5 linked regions of the Oryctolagus cuniculus genome follow. The protein of the gene in region 1 interacts with the protein of each later gene in a pairwise test. Links are inferred from orthologs where the notes say so. Each region holds a gene or a part of one and is shown on either strand. Other genes may lie near its edges. The genes, in order: L3MBTL2, PHF10, BEND7, PAICS and TBC1D9B.

The links.
Region 2: the proteins of L3MBTL2 (region 1) and PHF10 interact in binary tests that used the Homo sapiens proteins (3 or more experiments, as listed by UniProt). The two-hybrid records come from large-scale screens. The link is inferred for Oryctolagus cuniculus from reciprocal best matches to the Homo sapiens genes L3MBTL2 and PHF10.
Region 3: the proteins of L3MBTL2 (region 1) and BEND7 interact in binary tests that used the Homo sapiens proteins (3 or more experiments, as listed by UniProt). The two-hybrid records come from large-scale screens. The link is inferred for Oryctolagus cuniculus from reciprocal best matches to the Homo sapiens genes L3MBTL2 and BEND7.
Region 4: the proteins of L3MBTL2 (region 1) and PAICS interact in binary tests that used the Homo sapiens proteins (3 or more experiments, as listed by UniProt). The two-hybrid records come from large-scale screens. The link is inferred for Oryctolagus cuniculus from reciprocal best matches to the Homo sapiens genes L3MBTL2 and PAICS.
Region 5: the proteins of L3MBTL2 (region 1) and TBC1D9B interact in binary tests that used the Homo sapiens proteins (3 or more experiments, as listed by UniProt). The two-hybrid records come from large-scale screens. The link is inferred for Oryctolagus cuniculus from reciprocal best matches to the Homo sapiens genes L3MBTL2 and TBC1D9B.

Annotation. Positions count from the first base shown.
Region 1 is NC_091442.1:117,284,418-117,289,162, reverse strand, and holds the start of L3MBTL2 (lethal(3)malignant brain tumor-like protein 2), read right to left. Parts: upstream 3,139-4,745; 5' UTR 3,008-3,138; coding exon 2,984-3,007; intron 1,552-2,983; exon of another isoform or gene 1,423-1,551; coding exon 1,182-1,422; exon of another isoform or gene 972-1,181; coding exon of another isoform or gene 935-971; intron 1-934. UniProt on the Homo sapiens protein: Putative Polycomb group (PcG) protein. PcG proteins maintain the transcriptionally repressive state of genes, probably via a modification of chromatin, rendering it heritably changed in its expressibility.
Region 2 is NC_091436.1:634,017-638,158, reverse strand, and holds part of PHF10 (PHD finger protein 10), read right to left. Parts: coding exon 4,023-4,142; intron 3,464-4,022; coding exon 3,380-3,463; intron 1,422-3,379; coding exon 1,288-1,421; intron 1,204-1,287; coding exon 1,054-1,203; intron 443-1,053; coding exon 333-442; intron 1-332. UniProt on the Homo sapiens protein: Involved in transcription activity regulation by chromatin remodeling. Belongs to the neural progenitors-specific chromatin remodeling complex (npBAF complex) and is required for the proliferation of neural progenitors.
Region 3 is NC_091444.1:69,235,781-69,239,922, reverse strand, and holds the end of BEND7 (BEN domain-containing protein 7), read right to left. Parts: intron 1,688-4,142; coding exon 1,452-1,687; 3' UTR 508-1,451; downstream 1-507.
Region 4 is NC_091439.1:108,089,816-108,094,400, reverse strand, and holds the start of PAICS (bifunctional phosphoribosylaminoimidazole carboxylase/phosphoribosylaminoimidazole succinocarboxamide synthetase), read left to right. Parts: upstream 1-1,382; 5' UTR 1,383-1,538; coding exon 1,539-1,554; intron 1,555-4,585. Other genes in the region: PPAT (amidophosphoribosyltransferase), read right to left, coding at 618-745. UniProt on the Homo sapiens protein: Bifunctional phosphoribosylaminoimidazole carboxylase and phosphoribosylaminoimidazole succinocarboxamide synthetase catalyzing two reactions of the de novo purine biosynthetic pathway.
Region 5 is NC_091437.1:67,605,283-67,609,424, reverse strand, and holds part of TBC1D9B (TBC1 domain family member 9B), read right to left. Parts: coding exon 4,111-4,142; intron 3,795-4,110; coding exon 3,580-3,794; intron 1-3,579. UniProt on the Homo sapiens protein: May act as a GTPase-activating protein for Rab family protein(s).

The sequences.
Region 1 (4,745 bases):
ACCAGGTGAGTGCCAGCCCTCACTAAGGCTGACACAAGAGGAGGAGGAGGAGGTGGTGGAGGAGGAGGAGGCGGAGGCCACACTGAACACATCTGAACGGACCTCACCTAAGCGAGGCTGCCCGGCCTCCCTGGGCTGTGTGTGTAACAGCGGGGCTAAGGGAACTTCAGAAAGACAACTGGGGAAACAGGTCAGTGAGGAAGTTTTCAAGACAGAGAAGTCAAAGAGAAAAACATGTATTAGGTAGAAGTGCCCAAGTCGCTCAATCCTTGTGGCTCCATTATCTCATGGATACAGTAAAGAGACTGAGCTGGGTCAGCGTTTCAACCCTGACTTCACATTACAGACACCTGGGGAGCTTAAACGCTTGCCCACGCCAGGCATTCTACGGAACTGGTCTGCACCGGGGCACCGCCATCTGCAGTGTGTCGGGCATCCCCTGTGGGATTCCAATGTGCAGCCAGGGCCACAACTGGTCTCTACTGGTCGCTTCTAGTTCTAAGGTTCTAAGGTTCTACGGGAAGGGCTGGAGGAAGACAGAAGGGAGAAAGACGAGAGAGGAGAGAGGATGAGAAGACAAGATGAACAGAAAGGAAGTAAGATTCAAAGGCAGACTATCGCACTTCTGAAGAGTTTACCTCCCAGGGAACGGGAGTGTCGTCACACAGGCGGCCCTGACACAGGGAGGGCCCAGACCCCGTCCAAGGACCACAGCTAGCTCCAAAGCCACCTGGCTTCCAGATGACCCTCGGGGACTCCTACTGCCCACCCCCACCCCATTCCTCGTACCCAGAGGTCACGTTATTCTCTATTTCCCCTCCCATCGCCTAACTGGCAACCCGCAAGCTATTTCTTGTCCCTGGTAAGTGACCACAGCCCTTCAAGCTTTCCTGTCCTCTAAATATCCAGGCTTAGAAGTCAACGGCCTGCTTACACAAATGCAGAGGCAGCACCATGGCACTGACGGGCATCTAAGAGTGCCGAGGGAACATCAGCTGTGTGAAAGAACGCAATCGCGATCTGCATCCGGACTGCCGCACAGGAAACGTCCCTTGCGGCTGCTCGGGCTGCGTCTGTCTCTCTCAGGTCTTTGGACATGAGCAGAAAGCCCTGTATCCATCCCCCTATTCCTCCATGACCTCCTGACTCCTCTCCATCTTCAGGACACATTCTGAAGGCACCTGGCTCAGAACCACTGCCATCCATGGAGCGCGGAGTCCCAGGGCTCAGCAGGTGCAGAGGGGAGGTGGGCAGCTCCCCGGCTTCTCGATCCTCATTCTCTGGCTCACTCGACTCCTCCAGATAGGAGCTGCTCTCACTGCCCACACTGCTGTTATAACTCCGGAAACTGTCATAGCCACCAAACAGCTCCAAGTCGCCGTCTTCCTCTTCTTCCTCCATTGGTTCCGAAGACGGGGTCTCCTAGAGGACGGATGACACAAACCAGACAGAAGGGCTTTGGTGCGTCAGGAGGGGCTGCAGATGTGCTACTCAGTCTCCTGCTGGTTCTCTGCCAAGTCCACACTTCGGGGAATCTTCCAAATACCCTTTCTGCAAACATCAGGATTACTGTTTGCATAACATTTCTCTACCATAACTCAACAGAATGGCATTAACAAGACAGAAATATTCACCAGGCTCCTCTGTGGATTTACAAATGTTGTATTAACATGAATTCTAAACTCATGATGGGGTTTTGTCCTCATAAACTCACTGTAAGTTGAAAACACAACAAGTCAAAGATGGGTTTAAATTACGTAATCTACGCACACCACAGCTTGGTAGTACGGCACACTGTGCAGTATGGGTTGTTTGCCTCATGACTGTGGGGCTACCGTATATGAATCTGCCTAACAGGTAGTTTAAAAGGTATGTAGCAAGCTGAAGGCCTGGGCTCTGACCTAGAGCTGAAGTGCCAGCGCTGGCGATTACTGGCATGTGACCCACGGCAAGCCGGAATCGCAGTGCCTTAGTTTCCACGTCTGTAAAAGGAGGATAATACCCCCTACTTCACAGGATTTGCGGGAGAAGTAAGAGTTAATGGAGCTGAAGCACCTAGAACAGTGACTCGAGTGCTCCATAATGTTGGCGAAAAGCATGGGCGCTCAGATCAGATACGCGTGGGTGTGAATGCTGGCTGTTGCACTTCTCAACTGTGTGATTTTCCGTTTTCTTCATCAATACAATGCGGGTAATAACAAGCCTTTAGCGGACTGTTGGGGGCACTGAGATGGGTGAAACCTGGTTCTATTTCCGGCAGAGGGTAAGCGCTCACCGTATAAGCTATTACTCTTACTCCACGTTTTAACAGTCTCCTTTACCATCATCGAATTTTGGAGGTAGTACACTCTCTATTTGCAGCTGTACATAGACACACGCTAGAACGGAAGCCGATTCCAGTACCCTAAGGGGTCCAGAAGCCAAAGGATGAGGGGGTGGGTTGCAGGTCATAGTGGGGTAGATAAAACCTAGCCGGCCAGGTGTTGCAGGCTGACAGACTCCGCACCCACTTCCTTCATCTCGAGCTGTGTGCACGTCCCCGGGGAGTCGCACCAGCTCCCTGCGCCTCCGCTGCTTCAGCCATAAACACGAAGCCCGTGCAAGCTCCAGGCGCGGAGCAACGTTCGCTCAACTCGAGTCTCCCTCCCCCGCCCTGGACGTGACGGGCACCGCGATCGCAGAGGAACACGGCCACGAGACCAGGAGGACAAAGAGGATCCAGGCGTTCTCCGTCCTGGGGCGCAGTTCCGCTTCCCCCCAGCGAGGGAGGCTGTTCCGCCCTGAACTCCTCGCCAGACGCGGGTCCCAGCACTACCGAAGCAAAACGGACCGCGGATCGCCTCTGGCCCTGGCTCAGCCCGCCTACCTCAGTTTACCCATCCTTCCCCCTTCCACCCTCGAGGCGTCGCTAAGAGAGACGGGCCCATGGAGCGACGCGCTCGGGGTTCCCTCGCCCAGTCGCGCTAGGTCCTCTCCCTCTCACCTCAGCGCCCCGTGGTTTCTCCATGAGACTTAGTTTCTCAAACCGTCACCAGGTGTAGGAAGCCATATTGGCCTCAGCGCTCTCCCCGAGCGCACTCATTGGCCAGCTCCCTGAGCCGCGGACCAATCAGGCTTCCGGGTAGAGGAAAAGCCGGTTCCGCGCCCGCCCGTGCTCCGCCTCCCCCGGGGCGGGGAAAGCCGCGGGCGATTGTGGGTCTTGTAGTTTCCTTCGGGTGTGCGCGAAGGGTAGTGCCCTAGCGTGGAAATCCCCACCTTGACTGTTCTCATTGTGCCTTCCTCTCTATTGGCCTCTTTTTTTAAAAAAATTCATATATATTCATTCTCGTTTTGTTTGAGAGGGAGGGAGAGAAGGAGCGAGCGACCGCTGCCATTTGCTGGTTCATTCCCCAAATGCCTCCAGCAGCTGTGGCTGGGGCAGGTGACAGCTAAGAGACTGAAACTCCATTCAGGTCTCTCACGTGGGTGGCAAGAATCCAAGTTCTTGAGCCACCATCTGCTGCCTCTCAGACTGGATTTGTAGGAAGCTGGATCAGAAGCTAAGCAGCTGGGACTCAACCAGCACTCTGGTAAGGGGATGCCAGCGACTTAAACTCTGTTCCAAATGCCCACCCTTTTCCTCTCTAAGTCATAACACCTGCCCCTATTAATATTTAAAAAATGGGGATGGACATCTGGTGCAGCAGTTAAGGCATCTACTGCTTGGGATGCCCACATCCCATATCATGGCTTTGCTCCCCATGCTAACTTCCTATCAACATGAACCCTCAGAGGCAGCAGGTGATGGCTCACGTACTGAGTCTGCCGCCCACGTGGAAGGCTCTGACTGAGTTCTGCTCTTCTGGTTTGGGGACATTTGGGGAGTGAACCAGTGCTTGGAGGATATCTGTTTCTCTGCTTTTCAAATCAATATAAATATGTTAAAAATAGATTTTAAAAAGTGTAACAATGAATCTCACAGGCAGACAATCTACTAATGATGTCATATTTTTCATCATGTATTTATTTAATACCTACTACATGCTGGACTGGGGAAACACAAATGAACATCTCTGTTTTCAGGGAGCTGACCCCTGTAGGGAGACAGTGAAGACTCAGTCAACAGCATCCAGTTCCCACTGAGAAGGAATTTAGCAGGGCGCTGTGATGGAGAATAGGGAAGGGAACTCATTGAGAGGGAGATTAGGGGGAAAAAGGCTTGCTGGGTAGGCAACTTACTTTCCTTGATGGATGAAAAGATGACCTTTAGGAGAAAGGAGTGGTTGGGGGTGGGGGAAGACTTATCAGGTAGAGACCTGGAATTTAGAGAGTAAGATGGAGAACAGCAATGGTTAGCAGGAGATGTGGTGGGAAACCTTTGAAGATTTTTTTTTTTTTTTTTTGGACAGGCAGAGTTAGACAGTGAGAGAGAGAGAGAGAGAGAGAAAGGTCTTCCTTCCATTGGTTCACCCCCCCAAATGGCCAATACGGCTGGTGCAATGCACCGATCCGAAGCCAGGAGCCAGGTGCTTCCTCCTGGTCTCCCATGCAGGTGCAGGGCCCAAGCACTTGGGCCATCCTCCACTGCCTTCCCCGGGCCACAGCAGAGAGCTGGACTGGAAGAGGAGCAATTGGGACAGAATCCGGCGCCCCAACCGGGACTAGAACCCGGGGTGCCGGCGCCGCAGGTGGAGGATTAGCCAAGTGAGCCGCTGGTGCCGGCCACCTTTGAAGATTTTTATGCAGGGAAGTGAATCTACTGAATG
Region 2 (4,142 bases), on another chromosome or scaffold:
TCTGCACTTCGAGCAAACTTCCAGGTGACGTCAGCGCTGCTAAACCACAGAGCACACTTAGAGCAGTGAGGGCTAGAGAAACCCAGCACCTGTCTGTGACCAGCCCACAGGGTGAGCAGAGAAACGGACAGCCCACCTTTGTCAGCTGTCCATTCTGTGAGAAGAGCGTTCTTTGTCACAGAACCAGAGAAGATAAGCGTGGCACGAACCCTACACATTATCTCAGGAGTGTGTTTACGACCCCAAAATTGTCAGGAGGCAAAGACAGAAGGTTCTGCAATCCATCACCAAAAGCTGATACGAATGGTAACCAAAACTCTGGTAATGAATACCTCTTGTAATATTCCTGGAACTGTCCCGGGATGAGAGCCACTGGGTAAGAACTGACCTTTGTTCGCTCAGTAGGCAACACTTTGTACTTTCCTTGAGGCACCTGGATGACCTGTGTTAACAAAAACACAGAGCTCATTCCACGCCTAGAATCATGGAATTCCTTCGGGAAAGGAAGCCGATTTGCTCTCCACTGCGTGCGCCCTTCCCCCTTTACGACAGCTACAGATTTAAGGAACATGGAGCAGAGACCTGTGCTTCCCAGCTAGACACAGCACGGTCTTGTCTGCCTTCGACTGTGAGCACAATTCCCAAGAAGCGCAGTGCCTCTCGCGCTCGCCACATAACGAGGACAGGAGCCGGGCGGCTTACACAACCCCTCTGAGGCTCAACTTCTTCACGTATGAAACGGTGATGACGCCAGTCCCAACCTCATGCGGTCAGAACTGAGAAATCAAGGCACATGGAGAGTTCTGACACCCTCGGACACACACAGAGTATGAGAAGCAGCTACTGCAGTCTCACTCAGCAGAGCCGCAATGAAGGGCACACAGCTCCCCAGACAGCAGGCTGGGTGTCCCTGGCACGTAACTACACACGGCTTCCTACGTTCCAGTGGGAGGAAGAGGACAGGTAGCATAACAAACAGTAAGGGGGTAACGCCACTCTGCAGTGACAAGCAAGGAGCTAGGCCCAGAGACTCCTGAGCTTAAATCACCCTACATGTGTCTGTAAGTCAAAGTAGGCTCTTCTCTCTTCCATGCGCTCCCGGTTTAAATTGCTGTTAAACTCAGCTGCTTTCTTGGCCGCTTTCTTGATGTACTCAGGCACTTTGCTGGCTTCGACTTTCTGAGTGTTCTGCTGTTGCATTTGCTGAAACAGAAACAGTGCAGTTGAAAGTCACATGTCATCCTCCCAAACCCAAACAAGGCGCGGTGGTCACTCCCAGTCACTCACAGAATATTCTTTGTAATGGTCTGTAATTCGCTGACGCTCTTTTTCTTGCAGAATAACAGAATATTCAGCATGTTTGGCTGGATATTCTTTTATCATTAAATCAATCACTTCATCACTGCGCAATGCTGTTAAACCTGTATTAGAAAAATTTTTAAAAAGAAAGTAACTCTCAAGGGAACAAAAACACTCTTGAATTTGCCTCTCTTTCAAACTACATTTAGAAGGTTTTCAAACAAAGCAAACTATTTTAAAACAGCTAAAAGTAGTACCTGTAGTATAATGACATCAAGCAACCAAAAAGCAAGATCGGGGTGGGAATTTGGCCTCACAGCTGAGATGCCAGCTGAGACCACGTCCCGTGCCGAAGCCTGTCCACCCCAGCTCTGCTCCTGATCCAGGTTCCTGCCACGCAGCCCGGGAGGCAGCAGGGAGAGCACCCACGACTGGGCTCTTGCTCCCCAACAGGGAGATGCGGACGGGTTCATGGCTCCCAGCTGCGGCTCCACTAGCTCTGTCTGCTCTCTCTGCCTCTCAAATAAATAAATCCATTTTCAACCAAATGAGTTTTTTAGATCCTATGTATTCTACAAAGGAACTTCAAAAAGTTCATAGGAAATGACAATAAAATTTATTTGGATGCAAAAGATTTTGAAACCCATGCATGGTATTTTCTTAACACCCATTTTGCATGGAATTTTTGAAGACCCTCAGCATGCATTAATTCAAAATTGTTTTGTACCAAAATAAACTTATCCTTTAATTTCATTATCCAAAACCTTTTTGAAGTACCCTCATATAAGCATATATCCCTTTATCTACAAACAACTGCCAAAAACAATACAGTCTAACTCCTAACAGGATACAGGATATCAGTTAAAAAAAAAAGCTTTTCAAACTACTGGTTTTTCCTAGCCTTCAAATTCCATACCAGAAATATTATAATCAACCCAAACTTTACCAAAAGCATCAGCGCATACACACATCATGAACACAATTTTCAAAACGTGATAGTGTCAGATTTTACTCAGCTGCTAAAATGAACTCTCGTGCATTCACACAGAAAAGGAGCCACACAGGGCTGATGCCAACATCCTGTGTTAACTGACAGTTCAAGTCCTGGCTCCTCCACTTCACGTCCAGCTCCCGGCTGATGCTTCTAGGAAAGCAGCGGAGGATGGCTCAAGTGCTTGGACCCTGCCACCCACAGGGAGACCCGGATGGAATTCAGTGTTCCTGGCTTTGAACCATTTGAGGAGTGAGCCAGTGTCTGCCTCTCCCTCCCTCTAATTCCTCCTTTCAAATAATTTATATTAATGTCTTTTAAAAAAGAAAAAAAGAGCCACACTATACACTACATTAAAATGCTTATCAAAGGAAAAGTATAAAGTATGGAGAATATTACACAAAACTGAATATTCAGCAAAATTTCCCTTTTAAGAGATAAGAACCTATACTTTTTTTTAAAGATTTATTTGGAAGGCAGAGTTACAGAGAGGCAGAGGCAGGCAGGCAGAGAGAAAAAGAGAAAGAGAAAGAGAAAGAAAGAGAGAGAGAGAGAGAGACAGAGAGAGAGGCAGGCCTTCCCTCTGCTGGTTCACGTCCCAGATGGCCACAACAGCTAGAGTGGCACCAATCTGCAGCCAAAAGCCAGGAGCCAGAAGCTTCTTCCGGGTCTCCAGCACAGGTGCAGGGTCCCGCTACATGACAGCACCAGCACCCTGCATGGTATTTTTTTAAAAGTATAGGTTCTGGGGCCAGCGCTGTAGTATAGTGGGTAAAGTCACTGCCTGCATTCCATATGGGCGCTGGTTCAAGTCCCAGCTGCTCCACTTCCAACCCAGCTCTCTGCTGTGGCCTGGGAAAGCAGTAGAAGATGGCCCAAGTCCTTGGGCCCCTGCACCCACATGGGAGACCCAGAATAAGCTCCTGACTTCAGATCGGTGCAGTATCAGCCATTGCAGCCAATTGGGAGTAAACCAGTAGATGGACAACCTCTTTCTCTCTCTCTGCCTCTCCTTCTCTCTCTGTGTAACTCTGCCTTTCAAATAAATAAATCTTTAAAAAAAAAAAAAAAAGAGCAAGCTTCTATTACCTAGAGTGCATTGAGTTTCTGTGATGACGTTTAACTCTCTCAGGTACAGTTTCTCCTTATGAGACAAATCTCGTCTCTCTAAATCTCCAAAAGGGAAGAACAGAAGACTATTAATAACAGTAAAGCATTATGCATTATAAAACTTACAAAAGCTTAAAAATTTTCTGTTTAAAAGTACTTCATGTCATGTATCTCAAATACTGTTAAAGGGGCTACACAAAAATTGTTTGAATTCAAGGAATAAAACTGAAAACAGAATAACCCAAAGATAACATAAATAACTGTACGGAACAATTCATCAAAGGTAGTCCTCCTGCAACTCAAGCATGGCTTCTGTACTAACTCATTCCTAAAGTCAAGGAGCAGTGGCAAAACAAACTCATGGCTAGAGATGGGTTTTGTCTTAAATTTCTCCAGGAAAGTCCCCTTTCTCATTTTGCTTTTATATCAGTTCGTGAGACATAATAACACATCAATAGGTGGAGAAGCTGAATGCCAATAAATGAAAATCAGAGCGCACAAGAATAAAATATATATTACCAATAATCCACATCCAAGAATTCAGTGGTTGATAAGCTATCATAAAAAACTACTCTTAGTTAAGAAGTTAGATTTCATTATCACACAGCTAAGACTCAAGTACCTGGATATTTCCGTTTAAAGGAGGTCACGCCCAAATATTCACTGACTTGTTCCTGAAGCATGTAGTACTCTCCGGCTTCATCAGGTGGCCACTTGTACTCTATCAGGTTTTCTGCTGGAT
Region 3 (4,142 bases), on another chromosome or scaffold:
GTCATTTAATGTTTCTGGACCTCAGGCTTTTTTCCTGTAAAATAAAAGGACTGGATAAAAAGAAGGGACTGGACGACAGGATCTCTCAAGTTCCTTCTCATTCTCAGAGTCCTTGCAACTCTTTTCAGTTGCGGGAGGCTGTCCCAGCATCCCCTGGGCTCAGTTTTTCTCAGCCGAAGCACCTCTGCTTCCCTCTTCACACAGGAACATGTGGAAGTATTATTTCAAAGAGCCCCATGGTAAGACAGAAGAAAGGACAGGAAGGGAGGATGCTCAGGAGGCAGCTAGGAACAGCAGGGACACCCTGGGGAGGAAACACAACTAGGAAAGCCCACTGTTCCACGCCAGGGCTGAAAAGAATCAGGCGGAAATGCGTTGTCCTGATATTCAGAGGCTGACAGATTGGGAAGGAACAACAGAGACCTCATGTTTCCATTCTCTTAATTCACAAATGTGGAAAGAGCCAAACAAGGAGAGAAATCCCTTTTAAGTAGTGGTCATATATGGCTGAGAACTAGATACAAGCAGGTCCTTTTTGCACTATGTGGTTTGTTTCATTTATTTGCCCATTGATCTGCTGCTTAGCTACTGTGGGGCCGAGAAAGCAATGCATTATCTACATGGCAGAGTTGCTTGGTGCTCTGACGTCCACCAGCATATGGACTCTGCTTTCATTGCCATCTTGGGATGTGTACTGTCAATAAACGCATGACCTACTCACACTAGTTACTCTACTAATAATTGCCGAATTTAATTTAAAAAATACCACCCTAAATCTAGAGGAAAAAACACCAAGTTGGTTTTTTTCAGTTGGAAGGCTTTTTAGGGTGCCTGGATTTTGTCGGCAGTCGTCAGGTATTCTTTTAAGGGCAGTCAATAAGGATTCCTGAGGCCAAGTGAGGGAATAAATTGTTTGACACACGGCTCATTGATCAGACACCTGTTCCTCCTGCTCTCAGAAATGACCAACACACGGGCAGGAGGCCGGGGCCAGAGTTACTACGTGAGAGCTGAATAATGTCAAATCAGAATTCTGTCTGTAGTTTAACACAATTGTGTAGCAAAGGCACCAATGTAAGCTTGTATTTGGCTGCTCTGGTTAACAGTCCCGGGAATGTGTCACTCACGCTGGATGGACTGCTTTATTTAATCACTCAATTAAAACTCAAGAGTCACTGGGTATCCAGCATAGAAAGAACCGATCGCCTGTTGGAGGCCTTTTGGAAGAAGTGGGAGAAGACAGAAAAAGCATGCATGTCATCACACGAAATGCACGATTCTCATTCTAAAGTGAAATTTCACTTCGTGTTAAAATAATTTTTAATGTTTAAAGGCTTAAGGAATCAACATGTTGTAATACGAAGCTCTTAGGATCTGTTCTTCTGAGATTTTTAAGACTAGGAAGCAGAATGTAAGAAAAATACAACATTCCATGCTTCTTATATTACATGTTAAAAAAAAAAAAAACAACCCTCTGAACACAGGGCTTGGGAAGCTCTGCTGAGGAGGCCTGGGTCTGTTACAGCAGCAGTGTGCTCAAGCATCTGCGTGTCTAATGTTACAAGCATTTTCAATGCAAATATTGTTGTGGCTGCATTTGGCAGCGGGTGATGAAAATGTAAATGTGTTTTACCTGTTGGTGGTAGAGAAATGCTGTCCAGCCTTTCATCACCGTCAGCCACCTCTGCTGGTTACAAGCAGAAAACACAAATCTCATTAGTTTCAGGGAGCACATTCATTTTACTGAATACAGTAATACAATTTAAAGACTCCAGGATACACAACAGTGTCTCGCTCTCTCTTCAGCTTCAGCTGGTTCACATTCCAGATTTTAGTATCATCATTTAAATACTTTTGATGATGACAGTGATATAAAATCAATTTCCCTGTATTAAAATTCATTTTTTAACATCAGAATCCTTATTCTGTCAGTAAGGATTTCAGTTCGTTTTTCCTTGTTTACGTAGACTTAAACATCCGACTGCCTCCGAGGTGGACTGTTGGATGTAGTCATTGAAGGTGTGCAGGTCAGTGAATTCCATGTGTCATTCCCACAACCACTCCTGACACACAGCTGTGGGAAACCCTAAGAAGACTGAAAATCCCGATCCTACAGCTGCCAATCTAATGTGGGCATAAAGAGGAAATGCATGTTTCTTTTCTTTTTTCATATATATTTTAAAACCATTTCATTTGAGCAAGCATCTTGCTCTTCCATGCAGTGGTTCAATCCTGAAATGGTTACAATGGCCAGGGTTCTGCCAGGCAGAAGCCAGGAGCCCAGAACTCCATCTGGGTCTCCCATGTAGGTGGCAAGTACTTGGGCCCTCATCCACTGCCTCTCAGCATGCATTAGCACGAAGCTGACTGGAAGTGTGAACTGGCACTCCAGTGTGGGATGTGGGAGTCTGTGCCACGAGGCCTGCCCTCAGGTTCTTCATTTCTGCTTTCAAAATGCAAACTTTTGCTCCTTTCTGATATACATTTCAATCTCCTTAGGAGTCACCAAAAATCTTAGGCTAAATGCTAACAAAAGAGGACGTTTAAGTCTCCTGATAAATGGCGTGCCTGTGAGTCCCCCCTAACCTGCGGGGGACAGGGAGAAACACTGCATCACAGCCACGGAGATAACTGATGGCACCTGCTACGTCCCAGGGCCAGGGTCCCCTTTGGAAGTTCTCTGTTGATCCTACACAGGAACGTGAGAACCACCGGAAAGCAAGCGAATACTGTCCCTTTAGTTGTTGTTGCTTGGAAGAGGGCTTCCATGTGGCCAGAAATGGTCAAACCTTTCCCCAGATGCTTTGTCCTCTAAGGTCTTGTCTTCAGGCGGATACACACTGGCCCTACTGAAAGACCTATTCTCTGTAGACCAGTCAGAGTCACCATGAAGGGAAGACATGGGATATTCTAAACCAGTTTTGGGGGAACAAGAGTAGAAACTGCTAAAAATGAGGTTGTAGATGAATACATACTAGGAAACATGTTCATGTCAAATAATAAACCGCATGATAGAATTTTGTGACTGTGTTTTTTTTTTTCTTCATAACATTTGTTGAACTCTTTACTTAGTGTAGGGTTAATCTTATGAGTATAAAGTTAACTGAAAATAGGTCTTTGTAAAAATCAAGAGTGGGAACAGGAGGGGGAGGAAGATGAAGGGTGGGAGTATGGGCAGGGAGGAGGGGGGTAGGGTGGGAAGAATCACTCTGTTCCTAAATTTGTATATATGAAATGCATGAAGTTGATATACCTTAAACAATAAAAAAACTGAATTGTGTAATTGTTTCACTGTGGAGGAAAAGCTTTAGGTATTTTAAATTTTATTCTTTGCAGTTTTAAATTATAGTACATGTTTTACAAGTAATGTTAATTTTATATTTAGAAAACATTTTCTTCTAATTGGTTTGAGTGAATTTGAACAGGTAGATGATTGTATTAGCTTTTCATTACTATAACAGCATAGCTGAGGGAACTGTAAAGAGAAAAGGTGGGGGCTGGCGCTGTGGCCCAGCAGGTAAAGCAGCTGTCTGCAGTGCCAGCATCCCATATGGGTGCCGGTTCAAGTCCCAGCTGCTCTACTTCTGATCCAGCTCTCTGCTATGGCCTGGGAAAGCAGTAGAAGATGGCCCAAGTCCTTGGGCCCCTGCACCCGTGTGCAAGACCAAGAAGAAGCTCCTGGCTCCTGGCTTCCGATGGGCACAGCTCTGGCCATTGCAGCCATCTGGGGAGTGAAGCATTGGATAGAAGATTCTCTCTCTCTCTCTCTGCCTTTCAAATAAATAAATAAATCTTTAAAAAAAGAGAGAGAAAGAGAGAAAAAAGGTTTATTTAGCTCACAGCTTCGAAGGTTCTCCAAGTCTGGGCAGCCTCACTGGCCTGGCCTCTGGTGAGGGCGGCAGGTGAATGGAATGCAAGCAGAGGGAGGATCACAGAGTGAGCCAGGAAGCAAAGCCCAGGCCTTTGTAACTGCCATCCAAGAGCACGCTCCCACCCCCTAGACACTGTAATTGATTAAGTTTCCACTCTCGCATCGCCAGCATCTTAGGACTCTGGGCTTGAAAGTCCTACATGACCTTGGGGGCCAAGTCATATTCAAACTGTCGGAATGCTCTACATGGAACTTCTCTCATAGCCTGGAA
Region 4 (4,585 bases), on another chromosome or scaffold:
ATCAGCTCGCAGCTAAGTCAGAAGGAACGTAAGGGTCACGGAGGCGAAGTTGGGTCTTAACTGGAGGGGCTCTCCCAGCTTTCCGATTTCCATGTGGCTCGTCCTGACGCGGGAGCACCAGCCCCACTCCTCACTCCCCCTTTCCAGGGAAGCTCATTTTGGCATCTCCCTAGCTCGCTCGTGCGTCCCCTCCACAGGTTACTCCAAGTCTCCCGGATCCGGACGCCGGGACCCCCTCCTCCCCTCCAGTTCCCACTGCTGTGACTACTCTCAAACCCACCACCGGCTCCAGGGCTGTGTCCTGGAAACAAAAGCTTGTGCTGGTCGTCGGACCGGGTCCGGGCACCTCCCGGCACGAGCCTACCCCGCGAGCAGCCCCACGTTCGGGGGGCGCCAGAACCCGCAGGCAGTCGGGGACGAGCCTAGCGGAACCTCAGAAGCTGGCGGGACTCGGAGGGGAGTGAGGGCCCCAAAAGGCAAGAGGCACGGGACTGTGTGCGTTAACGTCCCGGGGCGTGCCACGGGCAGGTGCACGTCCAGGTAACGGAGGCCAGGGCTCCGGGCCCTCGAGCGCTCGCGAGAGGCACCGCCACCCCCGCCCTCCCCGCGCGGCTCACCGGTGCTGCAGCCCCACGAGTCCCAGCGTGATCACATGCGGCACATCCAGCTGCGTGGGCCACTCTCCTGAGGCGATGCACCCGAACACGCCACATTCCTCTCGGATTCCTAACTCTTCCAGCTCCATGTCGCCGCCGAAAGCACGTGGAGGAAGCTGCAGCCGCGGCCCGGGTCGGCGCACCAACCAGCTGCAGCCTTGAAACCAACGCCTCAGAAGACCGCGCCGGAGACAGCGGCTTCCTCCCCAGCACCGAGCGTCTGCTCGCTACTGCGGCGGCGCGTGCTGTCCCCGCCCCCTCCGTGGGCGGGGCCGCAGCCCCCGCGTCCCGCCCCCCACAGGGCCCGCCAATGAGTGAGGGCAGAGAGCGAGGCTCCGCGGCCGAGGGGAGGAGTCCCGCATACAGTAGGGGTGGAGCTACTCCTCCCCCACCCCCGGAGACGCCCGGACAGTATACTCTCCCGCACGTGGAAATCTCCGTTACTCTCTAGTCCTCAATGCTGGGGTGACGAGAATAACGGGGTTAGCATCCTGGCCCTCGCCCAAGAGGCACACGTCGCGCGCCCCTCCGCACGTGCCTTCCCCCGGCCGGGACGACTTGGTACGCTCCAAGCCCTGACCGGCTTCCTCCGGCTCCGAGGGGCCCCAGCCTGCGGTCGGCGCGGAGCGGGGAGGGGCCGCCAGCGCGCGCCACTTTCCGGCTCCCCGGGAACGCCGCCCGGGGGCGGGGTCGCGCCGGCGCGCCTGCGCGGCGGGAAGCCCCGGGCAGAGACCCTGCCGCGTGCATTCGCACGTAGATCGCGGTCGGCCGAGCTGCGCGGCGGCGGCCGCCGACTCTGCGAGAGCCCCGCCTCCGCGGCCCGCGCGCTGCGCCTCTCGGCCTCTTTTCCAGATTTGTGCGGCCCTTGGTCCACTCGGGATAATGGCGACGGCCGAGGGTGAGTGGCGGGCGCCCGGGGCCGGCCCGGCGGCTGAGGTGGCCGAGGCGGCTGAGGCGGCCGGGCTCTGGGCGGACGCACACGTGGCCCGAGCGCCCGGAGCGCGGGACGCGGTGGCGAGGGGCGAGCGTGGGGCGGGTCCCTGGGACAAAAGGCGGTCGGAAGCGCTCTGGTCATGAATAGCTATTGCAAAGCAACTGCTTGAAATTCTGGTGCTGACTTCAAACCCTAGAGTCTTGGTTGTTCCAGGTTCTTGATTAAACTGAAAATCTGGCCAGGTTTTGTGCAGTTTGGTCTTTTTTTTTTTTTTTTTTTTTACTTTTTAAAGCAGTCTTTGATGGCTTTGCTGAGTTCCAAAACCTGCAGGCAAAAACAAAAAAAAAAAAGGGTTGCTAGCTTCATTTTGCATTTACCGCATTTACGTCGTAGCGGTAACCTTTGCGCTCAGGTCGACTGGAACGATGGTTCTTGCCGTGGATGTGGAATCGGACGTGATACGATGTTTCCGACAAATACGCAGTGAACCAGATGGCCTGTGTCATCCGCCAGTACATTCTTTTTGCACGTAGGAGACAAACTGGATTTAGATCAGAGAGTTGTAAGCTGGGGCCGGCGTGATGGCGAAGGTTCGAGTCCTGGCCCGGGAAAGCAGCAGAGGATGGCCCGAGGGACTGGGCCCCTGCGCCCACGTGGGAGGCCTGGATAGGGCTCCTGGCTTGGCGGTTGCGGCCAGCTGGGGAGTGAGCCATCGTAAAAAGAGCGTTGTAAACTCACCGGGAAGAGCCGATTCCTTCAGCCATCCTTAGTCCTCATCAGCCTCTTCTGAACTCTTCTGCAAAGTTACAGCATTTTGATAATTGCGCAACCGCTCCATAAAACCAAGGGCTGGCCAGTTTTTCCTGCAGTCAGGGTGCCTGAACCTGGTGGGACCTCTCAAGGTTTTGTTCCAGCACTTACATCTTGGATACCAGTGGCAGGTTAGCTTTCCCAGAATGAAGGCCCGTCTTGGTCAGAAAAATGCTCAGTGGCTTCCCTGGAGCTGTTGCAGCCTGTTCCTAAGTTCCTGTGATTGGAACCCTGCGTAAAGCTGTCCTTCCTACCTCTTCCACCCTAATTTGTCTTGGTAGGAATCCTTACCCTACATTCCAGTGAGTTTAATTCACAGAGGTCACATTTTATTTTTTCTTTTTGTTATTGTTGTTCTAGAACAATGCTGGCTAAAAGAAATATAAAGTGAACCATATACATAAATTTGTTTTTTAACAGCCCTCTTTCTGAAGTTTTTTATAAATTTGGTAAAATGAGTTTTAATGGCTTTTATTTAACCCAGGATATCCCAAATATGAACATTTCAACATGTGATTTATAGAAAAAATTCCTTGAGGTATTTTGCATCCTTTTTTTTTCCACGTTGAGTGTGGTGTGTAGTTTATACATAAATCACATCTCAGTTTGGAGTCATCATGTTTCAAGTGTTTGATGATTGCCTGGTAAAGTTCTTTTCTATGGAAATTCTATGCTTTTGATAACTTTTAAATTTCAGTTCCATGAGCCATTCTCAGTCCTTCTCAGTCTCTTCTGAACTCATCTAATAATTGACAGCATTTTGGCACTTTGAGCAAGTGTCCGGATGGTTGAGTCTACCCATTGCCATTGCTGTCCTATTTCATGACTGGGCAATAAGCAGAGATTGAACCATTCTTGCTTCCTATAGCTCTTTTGTCCACCACACTGAATCGGTTCTCTCTCTCTCTCAAACATCTTGCCTCTTCTCCCACTGCTTTTCCCTTAGACTGTGACATTTCTTGCCTGGGTTGCTGCAGTAGCAGCAGCTTCCTAACGGGTCTCCCAGAGTCTGGTTTTGTTCCAACCATGCCTTCGTTCTCCACACAGCAACCACAAGGATCTTTCTGGAATGCAAATCTAGCATTTCACTACAGAGCTTAAAAGCCCTATCTATGGTTGTTCCTAGGATAAAGTCAGCTCAATCAACTTGGCCTACAAGGCCTGAGGAAATGGAAGAGAAAGGAACAGAAGTGGGCAGGAGGGGGATAAGAATTCCATGGAAGAAGTTGGAACGCTAGGCAGGGACTGGAGAAATAAGTATAGAGCACTAAACTGGGGCTGTATGCTGGAGGGTTTGTTTTTTATCTGCAAGAGGGTGAGCAGGCTCTCGCAGGTGCTGTTTCACTCCTACATGCCTGCAGCTAGGAGCCATGGACTCAAGCCAGGTCTTCTCCATGGGTGACAGGAACCGGATTACTTGAGCCATCACCACTGCCTCCCAGGGTCTGCACTGGCAGGAAGTGAGAGCCGGGGGTGGAACCCAGGAGCTCTTGATGTGAGAAGGGGGTATCTTTGCTAGGCCAAGTGCCTGCTCCCCGCTGCAGGGTTTTTTAAGCCTGTTGCTGAGTCTGGTGGATAGTATGTTAGGAGGATACAGATTCATCCTCTAAATTAGGTGCCCTAGGGTAGCAGCTATTGTGCTGAGCTGTCGCTAGTGCTTGCCTCTGCCAGCTGCTAATGTGAGCCCTGCACAAGTCTTGGGTCTCGCTTCCTGCTGTCCCCGTGGCGAGGGACCTGCACCCACAGCGCTGGTGCTGCAGCCACACTGCAGTTCTGCTGAACACTCTGCACCTTCATTTAGCCACCACCACCAGTCCCTCCCTTTCTTCCTGGCTAAATTTTGATCATTCTTCAGATATCTACCTAGTTGTCACTTTCTTCTAGACTCCTTCTCTGCTGTCTAAAGTAGTTTAGGTAGGTGGCACTGCTATGAACATGTGTTTCCACAATCTGTGGTTATTGCATTAACTTCCTGTGATGCTGTGTGTAGTATCACCCTGGGTCCTACGAGAGCAGGAGCTGTGTCTCCTGCGCCCATAGATCCCCAGTGCCTGGCAGTGGGTGCGCTCAAAAAGTGCTGATGTCAGAATGAATCCAGCTCCAGGAGCAGGAGGGTGAGCGCCCTTCTGGGAATGTTTAAGTCCTCAAACTTCGTCACCTGTGTCATCATCTGTCTTTCTCATGA
Region 5 (4,142 bases), on another chromosome or scaffold:
CTGGCCAACACATAAAATGTCCCCTCCCAACACCGGCCTCCTCTAATGGCATGCCTGCCCCACTCTGGGCAATCTTCCAGCAGGCAATTTGCAGGAAATCAACTTGACAGAAACACACTGGCCAGGTGAGAAGGCCCTGGGAGGACAGGGAGGGCAGGCATCAGCAAGGACTCTTTTGGGTGGTGGTGTCTGCTGAGCTGCAGGGTCCAGCTGCAGGACCTCCAGGTGGGGAGGAGCTGTGTGGCCAGGCCATAGCCGTGCACTGCAGTAGCTGATGCTAAGACTCAGGAAGAAGCGGCTATCTGGCAAATTTGTTTTTAAAAATTATCTTTTTTTTTAAACTAATTTTTAAAAGATTTGTTTGAAAGGGAGAGAGAGAGAGAAAGAGAGAGAGAAATCCATCTTCCCTGGGGGTAGGCTAGGCCAAAACCAGGGCCAGAAAGCCTGGCCACATGGCTAGGCCTCCCACATAGGTGGCAGGGGCCCAAGTACTTCAGTCATCTTCTGCTGCGTTCCCAGGTGCATCAGCAGGAAGCTGGAATACCTGGGACTCGAATCTGTACTGATTTGGGATGCACAGCTTTGCCACAAGGCCAGCCCTAACAATGACCTCAAGCACACTGCACCGGTCTCTGTGAGTTGGTAATACAGCACACAGAAATTGTGAGCAGTTGGCTTCCTTGAAATCCCAGTGCAATTTAAGGTAAACAGAAACCATTTGATCTGGCCAGGACAATGGCCACTAGATTTCAAAACCAAATTGCCAGAAATGCATCTAAAATCCCCAGTGATAGCCACTGCCAACAGCCCAACAGAATACAACAAATGCTGGCAAGAAGAACCCTTGGGAATGCTTGGTGGGCATGCAGAAGGTGCAGCTGCTGTGACGTGTGGAGGCTCCCACGGCGTCCAGCACAGGGCCACCGTGTGGAGGCTCTTGCGGTGTCCAGCACAGGGCCACCGTGAGACTCAGCAGTACCACCTCTGAGGACACACCCTCGAGAACTGAAAGCAGGGACGTGGGCAGCTGTCACAGCAGCCAGAAGGCAGAGCAACCCCGGTGTCCGCCAGTGGGATGCATGGGCAAAGAAAACATGGAATATAAATCAGAATATGACCAAGACTTAAAAGGAAATAAATTGGGGCCAGCATTGTGGCATAGCAGGTTAAACTGTCACCTATGACTCCAGCATCCCATATGGGTGCCAGTTTGTGTCCTGGATGCTCCACTTCCGATCCAGGTCTCAGCTAATGGTCTGAGAAAGCAGCAAATGATGGCCCAAATGCTTGGGCCTCTGCCTCCCACATGGGAGAGTAGGAAGAAGCTCCTGTCTCCTAGCTTCAGCCTGACCCAGTCCTGGCTGTTACGGCCATTTGAGAGTGAACCAGTAGCGGAATGAAGATCTCTATTTCCCTTTCCCTCCCTCTAACTCTGCCTTTCAAATAAATGAGTAACTCTGTAATTTAAAAAAAAAAAAAAAAGGGAACTAGATTGGGGCTCCCACTGTGGCACAGAGGGTTAAGCTTCTGCCTGTAACACTGGCATCCTATGTGATCACTGGTTTGAGTACTGGCTGCTCCACTGCCAATCCAGCTCTTTGCTAATGCACCTGGGAAAGCAGAAGATGGTCCAAGTACTTGGGCCCCTGCCATCCATGTTGGAGACCGGAATACAGTCTGGCTCCTGGCTTTGGCTGACCCCACTGGGGCCATTTAGGGAATGAATCAGCAGATGGAAGAGCTCTCTACCTTTTAAATAAATAAATACATCTTATAAAGAAAAAACAGAAAAGGAAAGACGTTCTGAAACATGCACCAGCATGGATGAAACTTGGACACTGGTCAGTGTGATAAACCAGTTACAAAAGGACAGACTGCATGAGGTCTGAGGTGTCCAGGACAGCAAAATGCATGGAGACAGAACAGAGACAGTGGTGGCCAGGGGCTGCGGCGTAGAGAGTGTTTAATGGGTACACAACTTCAGTTTGGCAAGGTGAGAACATCCTGTGGATGGATGGTGATGATGGATGCACAACAATGTGAATGTACCTAATGCCACTAAACTGAACGCTTAAAAATGATTGAAATGGGGCCTACGTTGTGGCACTGGGGTTAAGCGTCTGCTTGTGACATGAACATCCTATATCGGAGTGCTGGGTCAAGTCCTGGCTACTTTGCTGCTCCTCCTCCTTCTTCTTCTTCGTTTTTTTTAAAAGATGTACTTTTTTTTTTTTTTTTTTTTGGTGCCGGTGCCACAGGTAGAGGATTAACCTACTGTACCACGGCACCAGCAAAGATTTACTTATTTATTTGGAAGGCAGAATTGCAGAGAGGCAGAGGGAGAGAGGGAGAGAGGTCTTCCATCAGCTGGTTCACTCCCCAGATGGCTGCAATGGCTGGAGCTGTACCCATATGAAGCCCAGAGCCAGGCATCAAGAAATTCTTCTGGATCTCCCACGTTGGTGCAGGGGCCCAAGGACTTGCGCCATCATCTACTGCTTTCCCAAGCCACAGGAGAGAGCTGGATTGGGAGTGGAGCAGCCAGGATTCGGACTGGTGTCCATATGGGATGCTGGCACTGCAGGCGGCAGCTTTACCCACTACACCACAGTGCCGGCCCCTACTCTGCTTCTGATGCAGCTTCCTGCTAATGCAACTGGGAGGGCAGCTGAAGATGGCCCAAATACTTGGGCCTCTGACATCCATGTAAGAGACTCAGAGGGGAGTTCCTGGCTGCTGGCTTCAGCATGGCCCAGCCCTGGCTATTGCGGGCATCTTGGGAGTCAACCAGTAGATGGAAGATATCTCTAGCTCTCTCTGTCCTTCTCTTTGTCTTTCAAATAGGTTAATAACTTTTTTAACAAAAATGATTAAAATGGTAAGTTGTATGTCTTATATATTTTATCACACATACAAAAAAAATAAGTTGGGCCAGTGCTGTAGCGCAGTGGGTTAACACCCTGGCCTGAAGCACTGGCATCCCAAATGGGTGCTGGTTCGAGTCCCAGCTGCTCCTCTTCCGATCCAGCTCTCTGCTATGGCCTGGGAAAGCAGTGGAAGATGGCCCAAGTCCTTGGGCCTCTGCACCTGCATGGCAGACCCAGAAACTCCTGGCTCCTGGCTTCGGATCAGCGCAGCTCTGGCCATTGTGGCCAATTGGGGAGTGAACCAGTGGATGGAAGACCTATCTCTCCCTCTCTGTCTCTTCTCTCTCTGTGTAACTCTGACTTTAAAATAAATAAATAAATCTTAAAAAAAAAAAAAAAGATGTGTGAGCCACCTCCAGGGTAGCGCAGCACTTTTTTTTTTTTTTTTTTTAAGTCAAACGCAGGACCAAGAATAGAAGCACAAAGACTAGAAGCACAAAGACGACAACACATGACATGGGGATGAGATGGGTGATTGCTACTGTTTCTAAGTTACATCTGCCCTGTGGCCTTCCTGGGCTCCTTCCTGGGGTCACAGGGCACTGTCACAGGTGCGTGAGGCCACCACACAGGTCCAGGGCCCAGCACCTGTTCCTGCAAGCCTCTGGTCGGCGGAGAGACGCTTCTTCTGAGCCCCACTAAGCCCCTTTACCTGGCAGTAGCCGATGGTGGGGTTTCGGAAGGCGTAGGCAGTCAGCACCCGCCGGAGCGCAGCGATGCCAAGTTCGTTTTGGAAGGCGGGGTGCTCGGGCATGGAGCGGTGGAGGTCTCGCTCGATCTCCTCCGTGGCCAGGCTGTACTTCCCCATGGACTTCTCCACCAGCTCAGCGTAGTAGCCGGGGTGAGTCACCATCTCATTCCAGGCCCCTGGGGAGAAACAGGGGGCAGCTGTCTCTCCTGCCCCTACTGGCACTCTGGTGGCAATAACAGGGCAGGCTGGGTGCATCAATGCCCCAGTGAGGAGGGGTGGGACTCTGGGGTCTGTTACAAGGTGTGAGGCCATTTCCTAGGTAACCGCTGCAGGGGAGGAAGCCACTTTGCCCGGGGAAGTTCAGATGGCCGACATGCCGGAGCCTGTCCAACCTTGGGAGGGCAACCCTAGTGCTGGGTGGGCTCATGTGAGGAGAGCTCTGGGGACTGTGCCTGGCTGAGCCGAGTCTATGAGCCACGGGACCATGCTCACCAGAGAAGAGGAGCCACAGCTCTCCTCGCAGG